Macaca mulatta: one gene and its partner. The protein of the gene in region 1 purifies or fractionates together with the protein of each later gene. This does not show direct contact. Links are inferred from orthologs where the notes say so. Each region holds a gene or a part of one and is shown on either strand. Other genes may lie near its edges.

Region 1 (5,084 bases):
ATCCCAGCACTTTGGGAGGCTGAGGTGGGAGAATTGCTTGAGGCCAGGAGTTGAAGACCAGGCTGGCAACATAGCGAGACTCTATCTACATAATTTTAAAAAAATTAATTACAAAGGTAACCATTAGATGAACTAAAAAGAGTGATAGAAATATGTAGTGCCAGGCCAGGCGCAGTGGCTCACGCTTGTAATCCCAGCACTTTGGGAAGCCGAGGCAGGCAGATCACGAGGTCAAGAGTTCAAGACCAGCCTGACCAACATGGTGAAACCCCCCCCCATCTCTGCTAAAAATACAAAAATTAGTTGGGCGTGGTGGCACGTGCCTGTAATCCCTGCTACTCAGGAGGCTGAAGCAGGAGAATCGCTTGAACCCGGGAGGGGAGATTGCAGTGAGTCAAGATTGTGCCACTGCACCCCAGCCTGGGTGACAAAAAAAAAAAAAAAAGAGAGAAATAAATAGTGCCAGTAGGGGAAACGAACTACAGAGTGTGAGTTAAACCCATATATCCATATTTATCTGAATATGATAATAAACAGCAGTTGAATGTTTAAAATTGAGAAGCAGTGTGGCTGGGCATGGTGGCATACTCCTGTAGTCACAGTTGCTTGGCAGGCAGGAGGATTGCTTGAGCCCAGGAGTTGAGTCCAGCCTGGGCAACACAGGAAGACTCTGTCTCTAAGAAAGAAAAAAAAAAAAAAGGAGTGGTAGGATTTACAATAAGAAAATATTTACTCCTACCCTACCCTTTCACACCTCTAGGCCCACTCCCAGTTGGCAATCACTTTTAGTTAACTCTAAACAATAACATTACGGGTATGAACACCAAAAAAAACAAAAAACAAAAAACCCCCCAAAAACTAAAAGTTACTTTTTGCCAATTGGGAGTGGGCCTAGAGGTGTGAAAGGGTAGGGCAGGGGTAACTATCTTCTCATTGTAAATCCTTCTGCAACCACGGGCTGGAATTACTTGAATTACAAGCCTACACAAACCAAAGTTTTCATGACTGTTCATTACCTGTTAAATAAAACCCAAACATCTCAGAACCATCTTCTGTAACCTTGTTATCAAAGTGTGGTCCCTTATTACTTGAAGCGTGGACCAGCAGCATGGCCATGACCTGGGAGCTTATTAGAAATGCAGGATCTTGGCGGGGCCCAGTGGCTCACACCTGTAATCCCAGTACTTTGGGAAGCCGAGACAGGCAGATCACTTGAGATCTGGAGTTCAAGACCAGCCTGGCCAACATGGTGAAACCCCGTCTCTACTAAAAATACAAAAATATTAGCTGGGCGTGGCGGTGCATGCCTGTAATCCCAGCTACTCAGGAGGCAGAGGCAGGAGAATCGCTGGAACCGGGGAAGGCAGTGGTTTGCAGTGAGCCGAGATCGTGCCACTGCACTCCATCCTGGGCAACAGAGCAAGACTCTGTCTCAAAAAAAAAAAAAAAAAAAAAAAAGGCAGGATCTCAGGCCCCACCCCGATTTACAAAATCAGAACTGCATTTTAATACGATCCGCAGATAATTCATATGCACAGTCAAGTTTAAGGAGGAGGATCTTGCTTGTAAGCTCAATGTGGACCTCTTCAGCTTCAATACTGGTTGCCCCTTTCTACTCCGTTAGTCTGAATTCTAGCCCCTGGGGTGTTGTGTGTGTGTCTGACTAAAATCCAGCCATCGTTTTAGACCCAATTCCTCTGCTCCAGGAAGACTTCCAAGCCTTCTGCAGCTCTCTGTTACCACTGTTCCTTAAACTCCCACATCTCTGACTGAAGCTGCTTAGACTTCATTCTGCAAACATGTATTGGGCGCCTGCTGTGTGCCTGGCTGGATTCAGTGCCAGGGTGGGGCGAAGGCGCTGAGGTCTCCGAGTGCTCTTTCAGGTCCAACTCCAGAACCGCCCAGCCCCACGCAATCCAGGGCCGGAGGTTGTGTGCGCAGCACTCGAATATACCCACGGACAGTGCTGCGCGGCTTTTCTGAGTGTTACGGCACCCTCCTGCCGCCCGCGCGGCTCTCGGGCGGGGACCCACCGGTTTTGCTCCGCTTTAGCAGCGGCGAAGGGAGGACCCCCGCGAGCCGGTCCCTGGCGTCCGGTTGCCCAGCCCTTTTCAGGCTTGGGCCCGCATGGAGGGAACCGTGGAGTCCCAGACGCCTGACCTGCGGGATGTGGAGGGTAAGGTGGGCAGGAAGACCCCTGAAGGGCTGCTCCGTGGGCTGCGAGGCGAGTGTGACCTAGGAACCTCTGGCGCCCTGCTGCTCCCAGGGACGCCTAGCACCGGCCACGACTTGGGGGACAAGATCATGGCGCTGAAGATGGAGCTGGTGAGTGCAGACTCCATGGGCCAAGGGGACGAGTCCCCAGTTTAGGGCCAGGAGGGACGAACTCATGCTCTCAGAGTTAAGCTGGAGAGGAGGTAGTTAAAACTCTCCACCTAACTGCTCAGAATCCCTCCCAGATCAATCCGTAAACGCTGGGGTGGAGATGGAGTGACATCCATTAATTGTCCCCCAAGAGTGAGTGGGGGTGTTGATAGGTCCTGAGGAATTGGGGTGGGAGCCGTGGGTTTTGGAAGTTATTCCTGCCAAATAATTGGGAGGAGAGAGATGAGTACTGGGAAGTACTGAGAACCCAACGCAGCACAAATTCCCCCCGCCCGTATGGGCCACCTATTCCCCCCCAGTCCCCGTTGTAAGGCAACCGGTTTTTTCTCCTTCTGCTAACCGGGAAAGGGTTTAGTTCCCGTGAGGCCCGCAGTGTTCAGCACAGAAAAGATGTGGGTAAAGGGGCCTATCTGCTGTAAACTGTCTGGACCAGGGGCACTGAAAACCTTCTCCATTTCCTCTACATCCCCCAGCCCTACTTAAAATAATGGAAAGTTCCTAGACCCATAGCAGGAACAGAGAGTAACAGCACCATTGGTGCTGATTCCCTCACCTCAGACTCAGTCTCCTCCCATCCAATCTCCCAGGTAAACTGGATATTTGGATCTCATCTGCACATTCTTGGGGAGAAGAGGAAACAGCAACCTTCCCCTTTCTCTGTTGCTGCTGGTCTAGATTCAGAGCCAAAAGGGCAGCCAAGGCCCTGGCATGTTCCTCAGGGCCCTGATTCCGGTGAAGTGGGTGATTTACACCTGCCACTACTTTGCAGCCAGTTCTGGGGAACTGAGGAATTGCTATCAGCTTCCTGGCTTACAACCAGGAGCCCACAGTGAATATGTCAGCTAATAAGTCTTTCTGGACCCCCACTGTGTGCGCAGCCTGTGCCAAGCTGGTCTGTGAAGGAGCAGGGGAAGGAAGTCATGGGGGCTCTTAGACCAGCCAGGGCTCTAATGCCTGAGCTGAGAGACTGGGAAGAGAGTCTGGTGGGTGGAGCAGCCAGGAAAGGCCCTCTGGGAGAAGGACTTGAATGCCAAGTGTGCACTTGGCCTTGAAGGTTGGAGGTGAGTGCCAAATTCTCCAGAGCAAGGCTGTGACTGTCCCCACCTAAGCAGGGGTTTGCCTTTGTCTCGCTGTACAAACTTTAGCTCAAGGCCTAGTAAGAGCCTACCTAGACTGTCTAGTTGCTTTGAAAACTAACTTTCACCCAGCACATGTGCCAGGCAGCTTGCTGAGCACTTTACTTGATACTCTCTTCATCTCCACAGTAACCATGTTAAGTAAGTGATATTTTATAGATGAAGAAACTGAGGCACAGGGTGGGCATGGTGGCTCACGCCTGTAATCCCAGCACTTTGGGAGGCTGAGGCAGGCAGATCACTTGAGCCCAGGAGTTTGAGACCAGCCTGGGCAACAAAGCAAGACTCTGTCTCTGCAAAAATTAGATGGGTGTTGTGGTGCATGCCTGTAGTCCCAGCTACTCTGGAGGCAGAGGCAGGGGGATCACTTGAGCCCAGGAAGAGGAGGTTGCAGTGAGCTGAAATCGCACCACTGCACTCCAGACTGGGTGACAGAGCTCAGAGCTAGACCCTGTCTCAAAAAAAGAGAGGGAAGGAGGGAAGGAAGGGAAGAAGGGAGGAAGGGAGGGAGGGAGGATAAAAGAAAAGAGAAAAGAAAACAGAGGCACAGGGAGTTTAATAACTGCCCAAGATCACACAAAAAGCATGGCCATGATTTGAACCCAGATCATCTGACTGCACTTTGCATGTTTACCTTTGAGACCTGCTTTGTGCCAGATAGTCTAAACACATTTTATGTCATTGAAATGAGAAAACTGGTCATCATTTCTCCCATCTTACAGATAAAACATGCTTGCAGATTCTGAACTCACATAGGGAGTCAGTGGAAGAGCCACGCCTAGTCTCTCTGGCTCTCTTTTCTGCCTTGGTGGAAACGATCTGTAAACTTTAAGGGGCTGCATTTAACTTTTGATTTTGTCTCTCTGTATTCTTGACCCTGCTTGCCTGGGGCCTGAGGCTGCCCGAGAAAGGGCACAAGGGAGGGAGCCTTCTGGGGCCAGAACGAGGAGAGATCCCCATCCTATTTTTCTCCCTCCTCAGGACAGGATGTTATTAATATTAATCTCTTCCTGTGCTCTGCCCTGCCTACTGGGTTGCACCCAGGAAGGACAAGCAGTGGGGCAAGGGGTTTCCCTTGGGGCTAATGAAGGCAGGACTGGTTCAAGCCCTCTAAGGACTGTCCTTCAATTGTTCCTCTCCCAGCTTTCCTTGCACAAAGCAGGGAGGCCTACCCTTGAGGCCAAGGTCAGTCCGCCTCTAGGCCTCATCCCTCCTGCTTTCTTCCTCTACCCACCATTCAAAGGTTGAGTGAACAAGCCAGACTGGGATATGTGGGAATGGGAAACAGTGGCAACCTCTTCTTAGTTCTCCCACCCAAAGAACTGTTGCTATGACAACCCACCTCCACAGAGGCAGTCTGAGAAGAAGCTTTAGGCGAGGAAGAAGGCACGGGTTCAAGTCTTGGCTCTGCTTCTGAAACGTTTTGTGGTCTTGAGCAGTACTCTTTCTCTCTCCTGGCCTCAGTTTTTCTTCCTCTTGGTGGAGGGAGTAGAGGGAGATGGGGACTGTGGAACCAGATGATCGTAAGAACCTTTGTAGTAACAATATTCTGATAGTCCCTGC
Region 2 (5,024 bases), on another chromosome or scaffold:
TAAGAAATGAAGGTATTATATACATATTCACACAGTGACATGCACTGATCTTAAGAAGACAATGTGAAGAATGTTTACTTATGTGTACTCCCATGTAACTACTACCCAAATCCAGGCATAGAACATTACCAGCAGCCCAGAAGGTTCCTCGCCCTGTTCCGGTCAACAACTCCGGCATAGGCAGCCACTCTTCTTCTTCTTCTTATTATTATTATTAAGGCGGAGTCTCGCTCTGTTGCCCATGCTGAAGTGCAGTGGAGCGATCTTGGCTCACTGCAACCTTCGCCTCCCGGGTTCAAGCAATTCTCCTGCCTTAGCCGCTCGAGTAGCTGGGACTACAGGCGCGCGCCACCACGCCCGGCTAATTTTTTGTATTTTAGTAGAGACGGGGTGTCACCGTGTTGCCCAGGCTGGTCTCGAACTCCTGAGCTCAGGCAATCCGCCCCCTCGGCCTATCAAAGTGCTGGGATTACAGGTGTGAGCCACCGCGCCGGGCCCTTTCCTGTTTTTAGCTCCAGAGATTAATTATGCTTCAGGCTCCCTTAGCCTCCGGCTTCAAACCCCTATCTGCCCCTTCATCGGCTCCACCCCTTCCCCTGTACTCGCGCGCCCCAGAAGCTCTCACCCACCCCCACGATTTCGGTGACCTTCCGCAAGCTTCAGGAATAGCCCCTCCTCTCCTGACGCCAAGGGTTTGTTGGGGTGGGGGGTATCTCCATCAACCTCCCTCCCCCAGCCACCCAAATTAACCAACAATCTTAGTAAATACAGCGACTCGCCAGGCAAACCCAGCCTGGAGACAAATATCCGCCCCGCAACCAAACTGTCACACCCAGGTATTGGTCTGCAGGGAGGGCTGGACAGTGGAAACTGAAACCCTCTGCAAGCCATCACGAATCCACCGGGCACTGGGGACGCTGGCTCCCGCCTTGGCAGCAGCCCCCACAAGCCTGGGCCCTGACCCCACACCGTCTGGGCTTCGATCTCTCGTCGGTAAAGTCAGGGGTAGGACCCGAGTCTTCTAGGACCAATTCGAGCTGGGACAAGCCGTTTTAAATAGCCCCGCCGAGGCCATCAGAGCTGCGCCTGCCGGGCGGCCCTCGACACCCACCTCGGCCGGGCCGGTCCGAGACCCCCAGGCAACATGGGCCCGCGGGGACTGTGGGACGGGGCCCGACGGCCTGAGATCGCGATTCTGCTTCTTCGATACTTGGGGTCGTCTTCGGCCCCAGGATCCGCAACGCGCGCGGTCGGACCCCAAACACCGAGGGAACCGGGTCCGCTGGGCGAAGGCGCACACGCCCACCGGGGCGCGCTCTGCGCATGCGCGGACCCCGCAATCTCGGCGGCGCACTCGCCCCGCCCCTCCCGTCCCCCCCGCGCCGCTCCCCGGGCCCGGCCCTGCCTTCCCAGCATCCCGGCTCCCTACGGCAAGCGGCGAGGCCCGAGCCCGCCGGGAGCTGGGAGCCGGGCGCGGGGCGGGGCGGCGCGCTGAGGTCAGCGCGGCAGTGGCCGGCCCCGCAGTGGTTGGCTGCGCCGGTGCTGGCCGCGCCCTGGTTGGCTGCGGGCCGCGGGGCTGGGCCGCCGGGTCGGGGCTGGGGTCGGGGCTCGGGCGCCGGCCGGGCTTGCGCAGCGCTAGGCTCCTCGCCGCTCCTAGTCTGCGGCGGCGGCGGCGGCGGGGAGGGCGCGGCCGCAGGCGGGGCTGAGGGCGGTGGACGGCGGGGGCGCGGCGAGGCGGGGGCGGGCCGCCCGAGCGGGGAGGGCGGCGGCACCGAGGGGAGGAGAGCGGCCCATGGACCCGCGGGGCCCGGCGCCCCAGACTCTGCGCCGCCGGGACGGAGCCCAAGATGTCGGCCTAGGCCGGGGCGCGACGACGCGGACGGGGCGGCGAGGAGGCGCCGCTGCTGCCGGGGCTCGCGGCCGCCGAGCCCCCGAGGGCGCGCCCTGACGGACTGGCCGAGCGGGCTGCGAGAGGCCGGCGCGTCGGGAGCGGGCCGCGCGGCACCATGTCGGCCAAGGTGCGGCTCAAGAAGCTGGAGCAGCTGCTCCTGGACGGGCCCTGGCGCAACGAGAGCGCCCTGAGCGTGGAGACGCTGCTTGACGTGCTCGTCTGCCTGTACACCGAGTGCAGCCACTCGGCCCTGCGCCGCGACAAGTACGTGGCCGAGTTCCTCGAGTGGGGTAAGTGCACGCCGGCCGGGCCGGACCTGCGGCCCTGCGACCCCTGCGCCCCCTCCCGCGCACCCCCACGCCCGCCCGGGCAGACCCTGCCGCCCTCCTGCCCACCCAGCCGGTGGGCTTCGCCTCCTCTCGCCCCGGCAGCGCCCCCGGGCCCGCTGCCCATCTTTCTCCAGCCGCTCCGTGCGCCCTCGTCCCTCCGCTAGCTCTTCATCCCTCATTGCCCTCCCCAGCCTGGACATCCGCGTTCGATCGTCCCGCCCCCTCATCCTGCCCCTCGGAGCCACATCCTACGTTCCCACTCCCACCCCCTCCCCCCTGCCGGGCCCTCGCCCTGGCCGCTTCCTAGATCCACCCTCCGAGTCTGGATATCATTTCCTGCAGCACTCCCTGGGATATCCGCCCCCGCCCCCGCCCCTGCACCTCGCCTTTAGGGTCCAGAGGCAGCGTGGAATTAGTTCACTTTCCCCACCCCACGCTCCTCTGCGTTGTGGGGGCAGCTGGGTGTGCTTTCTGCGTCTGCCTCGCCCACTGCCCCATGGGACCCCCTTGCATCTCCAGCGAGCCCAGCACTAACGGCCCCTCCTGGGTGACAGCCTGTCTACATCCCCTTGTTGGCCATAGCCTGAACACCCACTTTGCTGTAACACCTTCAAGGGGATTTTAAGGTTAAGGCTTTATTTTAAATAAACCGTGCAAGAGGACTTTTTTTTTGTTTCTTTTTAAATTCCAGTTCTGCTAGACCTTTGTGATATTTGGAGGGGTAGTTGGAGCTATCACTTAAAAACTTTCTCATCTGATTTTTGCATGCCTTCTCTAGTTAGTTCGGGATCTGTATTTTAATCATTGGTCAGCTAACCGATTATGCTTTTTTAGGACAAAAATTTGGTTAAACCATTTAACGATAATTAGGATCCTAAAGACAGGTAAAAGCGCAGAGTGAAACCCTTTTGCTTCATCTCTGCCTAACAGCGGTGTGCTGTCAAGACCCTCAGACTATCTCACCTAAAACCACTGAGTAGGAGGAGGAAATGCGTATGTTCAGGCCAGACCTATGAAAACCTTATCCTTGGGTCATTTGCGTCACGGGGCTAGGACTGTTCAGTTTGAACCAGTAATTTCTAATCTTTGGGGCTGATAAAGCTGATATTTATACGAAGAAACAAATGAAAGTGTTCCACAGTGAGGCCTCCTGCTCTGCCAGATTGGTAACTGGAATTTGGAATTTTGTTTACAAATAAAATTTAAGTTGCAGTATTCTTTAGAGGGCTTCTATTGAGTTGCTCTGTAGTGAAATGTTACACACTATCTTGTGAGAGCAGCAGTAGAAAGAGGCCCTGAGATCAAGGACAGCCTGTGATGCTTTATTTCCGTGGGAACTACCATTCTTGGTTAGTTATAGTATCAGTAAATTAAGAATATTTACTTTCTAGCATCCTTTGTCAGTGACATGATTTCCAACTGAATAATTAATTGACTTCACCATTGCTTTGAAAGTGAGTTCTTTGGTGCATGTTAAAATCTGAATATTTTGTTTCCAGTTTCTTTCCTTTATTTTGGAGACGGAGTCTTGCTCTGTTGCCCACGCTGGAGTGCAGTGGCACGATCTCGGGTCACTGCAACCTCCACCTCCTGGGTCCAAGTAATTCTCCTGCCTCAAACTCCTGAGTAGCTGGAACTACAGGCACGCGCCTCCATGCCCGGCTAATTTTTGTATTTTTAGTAGAGATGGGGTTTCACGGTGTTGGCCAGGCTGGTCTCGTACTCCTGACCTCAGGTGATCCACCTGCCTCGGCCTCCCAAAGTGCTGGGATTACAGGCGTGAGCCACTGCATCCAGCTTGTTTACCGTTCCTTTCTGATCACTGGATGTTGAAACCCACACAGTTCCACTGTCAGGTTCAACTTGGTGCACCACCTGTGAGTGTGACTGGGAGGAGGAAACAGAGAGAAAGTTGGTTTTGCTGGGAAGGTGTTGTCCCACTGGCCTCTGCCCTGGTTCCCAGAAGGAGATTAGTCTGAGGGCTGGGGCCCTGTGGGCCGTTGTGCAGCCGCCTCTCTCCACCAGGCATTACTGGTGGGTTTCCCTGGAGGAAGCTCTTCTCAGCATGTGTGGAGGTCACATTTTATGAGATCTGACCTTTCCAAATCTAAACAGGAGCTGTGTGCTATAACATAGACATGTTTTCAAAGTTATATTTTGGCTCTTTGGAAATTGTGATTACAAACTACATTATTCTCTTAGGAACTCAGTTTGCACAAAAGTATAAATTTTCAGTTATAGAGAAGAATGAACTTAGAAGGTGGTGTTTTAATGAAATATCAATATATTTTACAAGTATTTAAACTCATTTATGTTAACATATACATCATTGTAACTCTAAATTGGTGTATTTCTAGTTAACGTGTGTGCAGTTAGTATTTAATGTTGCTTGGAATTGCCTAGTTGTTTCGATTGGAAAGCACAGAATAATGCTTTTGAATAAAACTGTTTATAGAGCTATATTAGGTACTCTAACTTTCAATTACTTCTGCTCAGGAAACACATATAGGCTGTCAGTGAGTGGACTGTTCAGTTTTTGCATTCACCACTCCATGACATTTGAAACCTCTGATACATCGATTTCTGTCATGTGGAAAAGCCAACCTTTCCCCACTTCCCAAATCTTGCCAGGTATCTAATGACAATTGTGGAGAATTCTTGAAACTTAAGGAAGAAAAGTAGCTGATTCAGCCCAGATTTGGAGGCTTAATGAGGAAATTTGGAAAGTATAGGTAGTAAACTTTTTAAGTTTTAAAGGAAGATTGTGGCCTGGTGTGGTGGCTCATGCCTGTAATCCCAGCACT

What was found. The genes of interacting proteins can lie anywhere in the genome.
Region 2: the proteins of LURAP1 (region 1) and CDC42BPB purify together in Homo sapiens (co-immunoprecipitation; 3 studies listed by BioGRID and IntAct, with this or other methods). This does not show direct contact. The link is inferred for Macaca mulatta from reciprocal best matches to the Homo sapiens genes LURAP1 and CDC42BPB.

Annotation. Positions count from the first base shown.
Region 1 is NC_133406.1:194,374,143-194,379,226, reverse strand, and holds the start of LURAP1 (leucine rich adaptor protein 1), read left to right. Parts: upstream 1-2,061; 5' UTR 2,062-2,127; coding exon 2,128-2,325; intron 2,326-5,084. UniProt on the Homo sapiens protein: Acts as an activator of the canonical NF-kappa-B pathway and drive the production of pro-inflammatory cytokines. Promotes the antigen (Ag)-presenting and priming function of dendritic cells via the canonical NF-kappa-B pathway.
Region 2 is NC_133412.1:176,460,645-176,465,668, reverse strand, and holds the start of CDC42BPB (serine/threonine-protein kinase MRCK beta), read left to right. Parts: upstream 1-1,627; 5' UTR 1,628-2,006; coding exon 2,007-2,181; intron 2,182-5,024. UniProt on the Homo sapiens protein: Serine/threonine-protein kinase which is an important downstream effector of CDC42 and plays a role in the regulation of cytoskeleton reorganization and cell migration. Regulates actin cytoskeletal reorganization via phosphorylation of PPP1R12C and MYL9/MLC2.